Linked DNA regions of Macaca mulatta. The protein of the gene in region 2 purifies or fractionates together with the protein of the main gene of each other region. This does not show direct contact. Links are inferred from orthologs where the notes say so. Each region holds a gene or a part of one and is shown on either strand. Other genes may lie near its edges.

The links. Proteins that work in one complex are often made in the same cells at the same time.
Region 1: the proteins of TCOF1 (region 2) and ARRB1 purify together in Homo sapiens (affinity purification with western blotting; 5 studies listed by BioGRID and IntAct, with this or other methods). This does not show direct contact. The link is inferred for Macaca mulatta from reciprocal best matches to the Homo sapiens genes TCOF1 and ARRB1.

Annotation. Positions count from the first base shown.
Region 1 is NC_133419.1:75,669,931-75,673,577, reverse strand, and holds part of ARRB1 (beta-arrestin-1), read left to right. Parts: intron 1-305; coding exon 306-365; intron 366-1,503; coding exon 1,504-1,571; intron 1,572-3,647. UniProt on the Homo sapiens protein: Functions in regulating agonist-mediated G-protein coupled receptor (GPCR) signaling by mediating both receptor desensitization and resensitization processes.
Region 2 is NC_133411.1:159,346,617-159,350,263, reverse strand, and holds part of TCOF1 (treacle protein), read right to left. Parts: intron 1,214-3,647; coding exon 1,103-1,213; intron 1-1,102.

The sequences.
Region 1 (3,647 bases), on a different chromosome or scaffold from region 2:
TTAAGGTCCCAGGTTTGGGGGATCAGGGTGTGGACATCTTTGGGGGACCATTATTCTGCCAACTACAGTAGACATCATAGAAAGATCTATTTAAACCATTGCTGTGAGAACTGGGCTAGGCCAAACTCTTTAGATAAAGAAAACTCAGACACTTGCGGGGCATGGGTTGGCATGGTCTGATGGGGTAGACATGGCCTGTCCCCTGGGGCCCTTGGTCTGATAGGTGTATGGGCGTGTCTGGGCTGCAAGACATGAGACAGGACAGTGGTGGATGTGATAGATGGCTCGTTCTGTCTTCTTGACAGATCCCTCCAAACCTTCCATGCTCTGTGACACTGCAGCCGGGGCCCGAAGACACAGGGAAGGTAGGTTACCCCAAGGGGACCATCTCTCTGGCTCCAGGACTCTCAGGTCCCCAGGTCCCTGGCTTTCTCCCTGGGAGGTGCTGGACACACAGAACCACTCTCCCTGTTGAACAGTGTTAGGCTAAGCTGGTCCCACCTTGGACAACCAGTCTCTCTTTAGACAGGGCAGCAGGTATGGGGTCAGCCTCACTCTCCCATTAAGTGATGGATCCAGAGGCCCTCCTGAGTGGCGTTGGTTGCAACAGGACCAAAGTGTTCTGAGGACCTACACCTGGCCTCACGTAACCCCTGGCAACCTTGAATCAAGGTGTGATCATCCCCATGTCACAGATGGGGAAACTGAGGCTTGGATAGAAGTGACACCACTAGCTGCAGACCTTTGAGCCCAGCTTCCTCATCTGCAAGATGGAGATGACAGCACGTGCCTCCTTGTCTTATTAGAGGGATACCGGAGAAGCCACCCAGGGCCAGGTCTGCACACAGTAGTAGTGGGTGCCCCCAGTCCGCTCAGGTACCTGTTGCTATTTCTGGGCAGCTGCCTAGATGAGGATGGCCACCCAGACTGAGGCAGGAGTCCAAAGAGCAGAGCCCTGTTTGGATGATTTGGGATGTCCCATGTCAGATGGAGGAGGCAGCACAGCACTGGGGCTGAGCACAAGGGCGTTCCCCTGCTTCTTCCAGACCGAGGAGGGCTGGGCTGTGGGAGCTTGGTGTTCCTGTCCAGTGTCCTCGCTTGTTTTTTTTTTTTTTTGTTTTTTTTTTTTTTTTTTTTTTTGAGACGGAGTCTCGCTCTGTCGCCCAGGCTGGAGTGCAGTGGCCGGATCTCAGCTCACTGCAAGCTCCGCCTCCCGGGTTCACGCCATTCTCCTGCCTCAGCCTCCCGAGTAGCTGGGACTACAGGCGCCCACAACCGCGCCCGGCTAATTTTTTGTATTTTTAGTAGAGACGGGGTTTCACCGTGGTCTCGATCTCCTGACCTTGTGATCCGCCCGCCTCGGCCTCCCAAAGTGCTGGGATTACAGGCGTGAGCCACCGCGCCCGGCTCAGTGTCCTCGCTTGTAAAATGAGAGGTAGGCTGGCTGTGTACTGGGGACCCTGCTTCTCCAAGGCCCTGTGGTCAGTGACCCCTTCCCCACAGGCTTGCGGTGTGGACTATGAAGTCAAAGCCTTCTGTGCGGAGAATTTGGAGGAGAAGATCCACAAGCGGTGAGTAGGATGCCAGGGTGTGGGCTGCCTGCTGGGTGAGGGAGGGAGACAGGATGGGCAAAGTCCAAGAGGAGATAAGTAACAATACCTGGAAGTGTGTGAGGAGGGGCGCACATTCCAGCCTTGGAAGGACACTCTGGAAGCTGGGAGGTCACGGAGGGCTTCCTGGGGGAGGTGGCTTTGACTGCCCAGGTTCAGGCTGCCGCATCTTCTCCTTCGCACCGTTGTGGAAGCTTCCTCCCTCATCTCCCTGCCTCTCATTTCATCCCCTCCAGACTGCATGTCTTTTTAATTTGTTTTGGAAAAATCCTAAATTCAGATTGTGTTAAACCGTGAGCAGGCTGTTTCCTGACCATCCCCATTTTCCAGTTTTCCTCTTGGGAGGAGTTCAGCAGGGGTTGAGTGTGTGTCAATGGCAGCTTCTAAGTGAGGAGGAAGTGGAGATAGTGAACCCATCCAGGGCAGAGTGACAGGGAGCTCGGCCCACATCCGAGAGGGGAAGCATTCTCTGGAGAAGCACAGCCTGGGCAGACAGAGAGCCCAGGCTGGCAGCCAGAAACAGCTGGCCCGGATGTCTCAGGCCTGCCCCTCCTGGGTCAGGCTGTGCTCTGCCTGCCTCCTGGAAGAGCTGGTGGGCCCTCAACGCTGATGTTCCTGCATCCAGAGGCACTGTTCCCAGAGGAGGTTGGCTGAGGGCACAGCAGCCTTTTTAGGGCATGGGCTGAGTTTGCCACCTGGTGGCTATAGGGTGTATTGCATACATTTGCATCTGCAGCCCTGCCTGTGTGTGGGGAGATGGGACTTTTCTCCCTTGCTTCTCTGTCTCCCTTTTCCTCTTAAGACCTGAGACAAGGGAAAAGGAAGGGTGCTGTGGGATGTGGGAGGAGGCTTAGCAAGCACAAGAAAGAGGAGGTGACATTGAGAGCCACCCCTCTCACCCTACCACCAATGGGACATTTAAAATCCACACCAAGGAGTTACTAATAATAATGATATAGAAACTATCATTTATCAAGGGCTGATTAGGTGTCAGGCACCATTCACAGTGCTGGGCTGTACGAACTAATTTAATCCTCATAGCAGCTCTAAGAATTAGGTCCTGGCTAGGCGCGGTGGCTCACGCCTGTAATCCCAGAGCTTTGGGAGGCCGAGGCGGGCAGATCACTTGAGGCCAGGAGTTCCAGACCAGCCTGGCCAACATGGTGAAACCCCATCTCTACTGAAAATACAAAAATTAGGCAGGTGTGGTGGCACATGCCTGTAATCCCAGTTGCTCGGAAGACTGAGGCAGGAGAATTGCTTGAACCTGGAAGGCAGAGGTTGTAGTGAGCTGAGATCGCGCCACTGCACTCCAGCTCGGGCAACAGAGTGAGACTCCACCTCAAAATAAATAAATAAATAAAATTTAAAAAGCAAAAAAAGAGATAGGTCCTTCTATCATCACCCTTTACAGATGAGGGAATGGAGGCAGAGAGGTTAATGTACCCAAGGCCACATAGTTAGCAAGAGGAGAGCTGGGAGTTTGACCCTGGCTCCTCCATTCCAGGCAATGGAAGCAGCTTATCTGAGCAATGGAGATGCAGCATTCCCAGCATGCCTCAGAGACGGCCTCACTGAGTCTCCCTCCCTCACCAGATCCTCATTTGCTCCCTGATCCCCTGTAACCTTCGTGGAGCCAGTCTCATCCATGGCCCTTCTCCCCTCCCTGGGCTTGTCCCCTTCACTGGCTTGCATCCCCCTGACTGAATCCACACCTCCTCCCTGAACCCCGACGCCTCCCCAAACCCCATTTCTTCTTGGGACCCCTGTCCCCTCTGCGTAGTTTTACATAATAGATATCTGGCATGTGTTTATTATATGGCACGCACAGTTATAGGTGCTGAGAGTACAGTTGTGAACACCTTAGACACAAATTTCTGTCCTTAAAGAGCTTACACAGTGTCCTGTGTCACCAAAAGAGATGACAGAGGGACACTATTTGTGTAAGGTGACATAGGGAGGCGGGAAGTGACATTGTTACCTATTTGGTGACATAGGGAAGCAGGAGGTGAAAATGTAGTCCCTGTTTCAGCCTCC
Region 2 (3,647 bases):
AAACAGAAAAATGCAAATACAGGGAGTTACCGATGTTGGTGGTGGTTGTTCTTTACTTTTGTAATCTGTGCTATTGGAAAGTGAGAGGCAGTGAGCACCCTATTGCTGGAAGTGTGCAAACAGCATCTGACCTTACTGATGAATTGGTAAGAACATGGTATGTGATATTCAAGGGGAGGTGGTTCATGAGACCACTCTGGTCTGGAGGTTGCAGAACTCCAGGATCTGTCGTTAGGCCCTGGGAGGGGAGCTGGTGCTCTGAGGTGCCTGGCAGAAGCTTCTGGGAGCTTGGGGCTAGAGGAGGACAAAGGGTAATGCTGTCTGATGGAAGGGCCAGGGTTCACACAGAAGCTTGAACCACACCAGCATGGCTGACTTAGGCCTCTGGAGTACAGGGAGATAAGGTGGGCCTGGTCTCATCCTTGGGGGTGTAGCCTGGGCAGGACTGTGGCTTAAGCTCTGGGTGCAGTGGAGCATGTGAAGGTATGCCACAGGCGCTTGAGAAAGAGTCCTGGGCAAAGCTCATGGGATTTGAGAAGAATCCCGGTCCTAAACAGGCAACAGAGATATAGGGAGCCAGGGGACCAGTGCTTGCACCTTTCCTCAGCCTCTTATGAATCATGAGAATTTCGGGAAACTGCTTCAACTCTAAGGCTTGATTCCCGATCTGTCAAACGGGGCAACACTCCCTGGCCTTCTCACAGTTACCAGGCACCCTTTCTTAGGCAGGGGACTGTGGCAAGTACTTCGTGTGCTGGCTCCAGTGCAGAGGCAGGAGGGAGGCACTAGTACTAACCCCATTTTATGGTTGAAACATTGAGCCTCACATAGGAGAAAGGCGTCTGCCCAGGACCACGGAGCTGTTAGGTGGTAGAGCCGGGCTTCGCCCCAACACTCTGAAGCCTGTATGTTTAACTGTGCACTGCTGCCTGCCTCACAGGGCTCAGACGAATGTCACAATAGAGGAAAGAGCTCTGGAAGCTGTGAGATGCTGTTTAAATATGACGAGATTTTTCCCTATGGGAAAGACCTGCCCTCTCCCGCAAGGCCTGCCAGCCCAGCTCTGACCCTGCAGCGACTGCAAAGAGAAGGCATGGCGTACCTGGGTCAGTGGCAGCTCTTCCTCACTGCTCTCCGAGGACCCCTCCGTGTTCCCCTCTGGAGGTGCTGGGGCCAGGGTCTTGCTTCTGGCAGGTTTGGAGTTACTGTCCTTCTGAGGGGACAAGACCTGGATAAGCACGTGGTCGGGGAGAGGGGCATTTGCTGAGGGGGAAAGAGCCAGCAGGCAATGATCCTCAGGCACTCTGGTTTCCAGGGGAGGCACCGTGGCCCCTTCCTGCACATGCACAGGAATAGCTGCTGCTCTGACCTGCCCCACAGCCACCGGAAACATGCTTCCACCCTGCTAGCTCCTTCCAGAGCTAACTTCAAACGTGAAAGGGATTTATGACTCCGATACAGCTAAAACCTGAGGGCTGCAGGGCTGTTGGCCCAGGGTCTGGACAAGAGGTGACAGCAGCCTGGGACAAAGTTGCAGGCACAAGCCAGTGGTCCCAGCACAGTTCACCTCTGGTTGTAACATCCCCAGCCAAAAGCAGGAGCTGCCTAGAAGTGTTCCACTGGCTACCATACCCTCCTGCTGGGGCAGGCATGATAATGGGGGCTGGACTGGTGAACACTGCAGTCAGAGGACGACTCAAGAGATCCGGGTGGAAATGCTGGTGGTGATGGCAGCTCAGTGGTCCCTACTGGAATGGGGGACCCCTTTTCCCTACTCAGCCTAGCCAAGAAAGTAGGACCCAGGCTGCCTGAGCTTCCAATTTCTCAAGAGAAGCTGGAAGATCTGCACGTCATTTCCGATTTTTAAATGGGGCAACTACAATGCACACTGCTGGCTGCCTCCTAACAGCCATGCCCCCATCTGTTACTTGCTAACAGAACCCTCACTGTTCAGTGGCTCCTACCACATGCTTCAGGGAGGGTGGTCCCTCCTCCCAGCCAGTCATGTGAACTACTGGCTTCTTGTCTATGGCTAAGAGGGTAGCTAGCACGTCCAGCCTGAGGTCTGAGTAGCCTTAAGTCTACTCCTCAGTCTTTTTTGAGATGGACTCTTGCTCTGCTCACTCTGTCGCCCAGGCTGGAGTGCAGTGGCACAATCTTACTCACTGCAACACCTCCTCCTCCCCGGGTTCAAGTGATTCTCTTGCCTCAGCTGGGATTACAGGCCAGTGCCACCAGGCCCAGCTAATTTTTGTATTTTTAGTAGAGACAGGTTTCGCCATGTTGGCCAGGCTGGTCTTGAACTCCTGACCTCCAGTGATCCGCCTGTCTCAGCCTCCCAAAGTGCTGGGATTACAGGTGTGAGCCACTGCACCTGGCCTGCCCCCAGCACTTTAGGAGATGCTGCAGCCCTGCTATGACCATAAAGCTGATGGAGCACAGAGATGGAAATCTGGTCACCACTGATGCTTAGCTGAAGGAACCAGCTTTTCAGCAGCTGGAACCTGGGACTCTGTGCACTGTAAGAGTCAATCCCCTTAGTGAAGCTCTTTTGAATGGGGCTTTCTCCTGCAACTTAGGCCATTCTGATGGAGAGAGGAACTCGTTGAAAACTTAAAAACAAAAATACTACACAGGCCAAAATATGGCTGAGGCCTATGCTTTAGTTTGTCATTTAGGTCCTCCATAAATCTACCAGTAACAAGCACCTGGGAGGGCCTACGGCTTGTAGGACAGCAGCCTTCAGTGACCATGCACGTTCATGCCCAGCCCGTCTGCACCCACTGAGGGGCCCTGTCCACTTTTGTGCCTGGTCATCCTTCAGCTCCATCACCCGCTCCTCTTCTGGCCTCTCAGAGACCTGCTCTTTCAGCTGTCAGCACCACCAGCATACTCTGCGATAATCCGGCCACCTGTCTTGCCCCACAGACTGTGAGCTCCTTGAGGGCAGGGCCAAATGTCTTTCGCCCCCAGTAATGGTTTGTTATATCAAAGGCAGAGGTTAGGGATAGGGAGCATTCATCTCAGTGCTTGTTTTACTCATGAAGAAAACAAATCTAAGAGAGGTTATGCAGCTTGGCCTGGCACAGGGACTTCCAGCTTCCCTTAAGAAATGGAAGATCTGGCCACAAAGAAGGTCCATTTCCATAGTCATGACTGGCTGAAGCTGATAGGAACTGTCCTTATGGATGGGGCAAGGGCTCCCCGGTCTGTCCTACTTGCTACCATTATCTACCATCTCTCCTGACATCTATTTTTTTTTTTTTTTTTTTGAGACAGAGTCTCACTCTGTTGCCCAGACTGGAGTGCAATGGCACGATCTTGGCTCACTGCAACCTCCGCTTTCCAGGTTCAAGCAATTCTTCTGCCTCGGCCTCCCGAGTACCTGGAACTACAGGCACCCGCCATCATGCCTGGCTAATTTTTGTATTTTTTTTTTTTTTTTTTTTTTTTAGTAGAGACAGGGTTTCACCATGTTGGCCAGGCTGGTCTTGGACTTCTGACCTCATGATCTGCCCGCCTTGGCCTCCCAAGCTACTGGGATTACAGGCTTGAGCCACTGTGCCCGGCTGACATCTATCATTTCTGCCAGGCCTGCATCAGTCACGTCCATCACACACCTGTGCCCTGGCAGTGCTAGAGTCTGT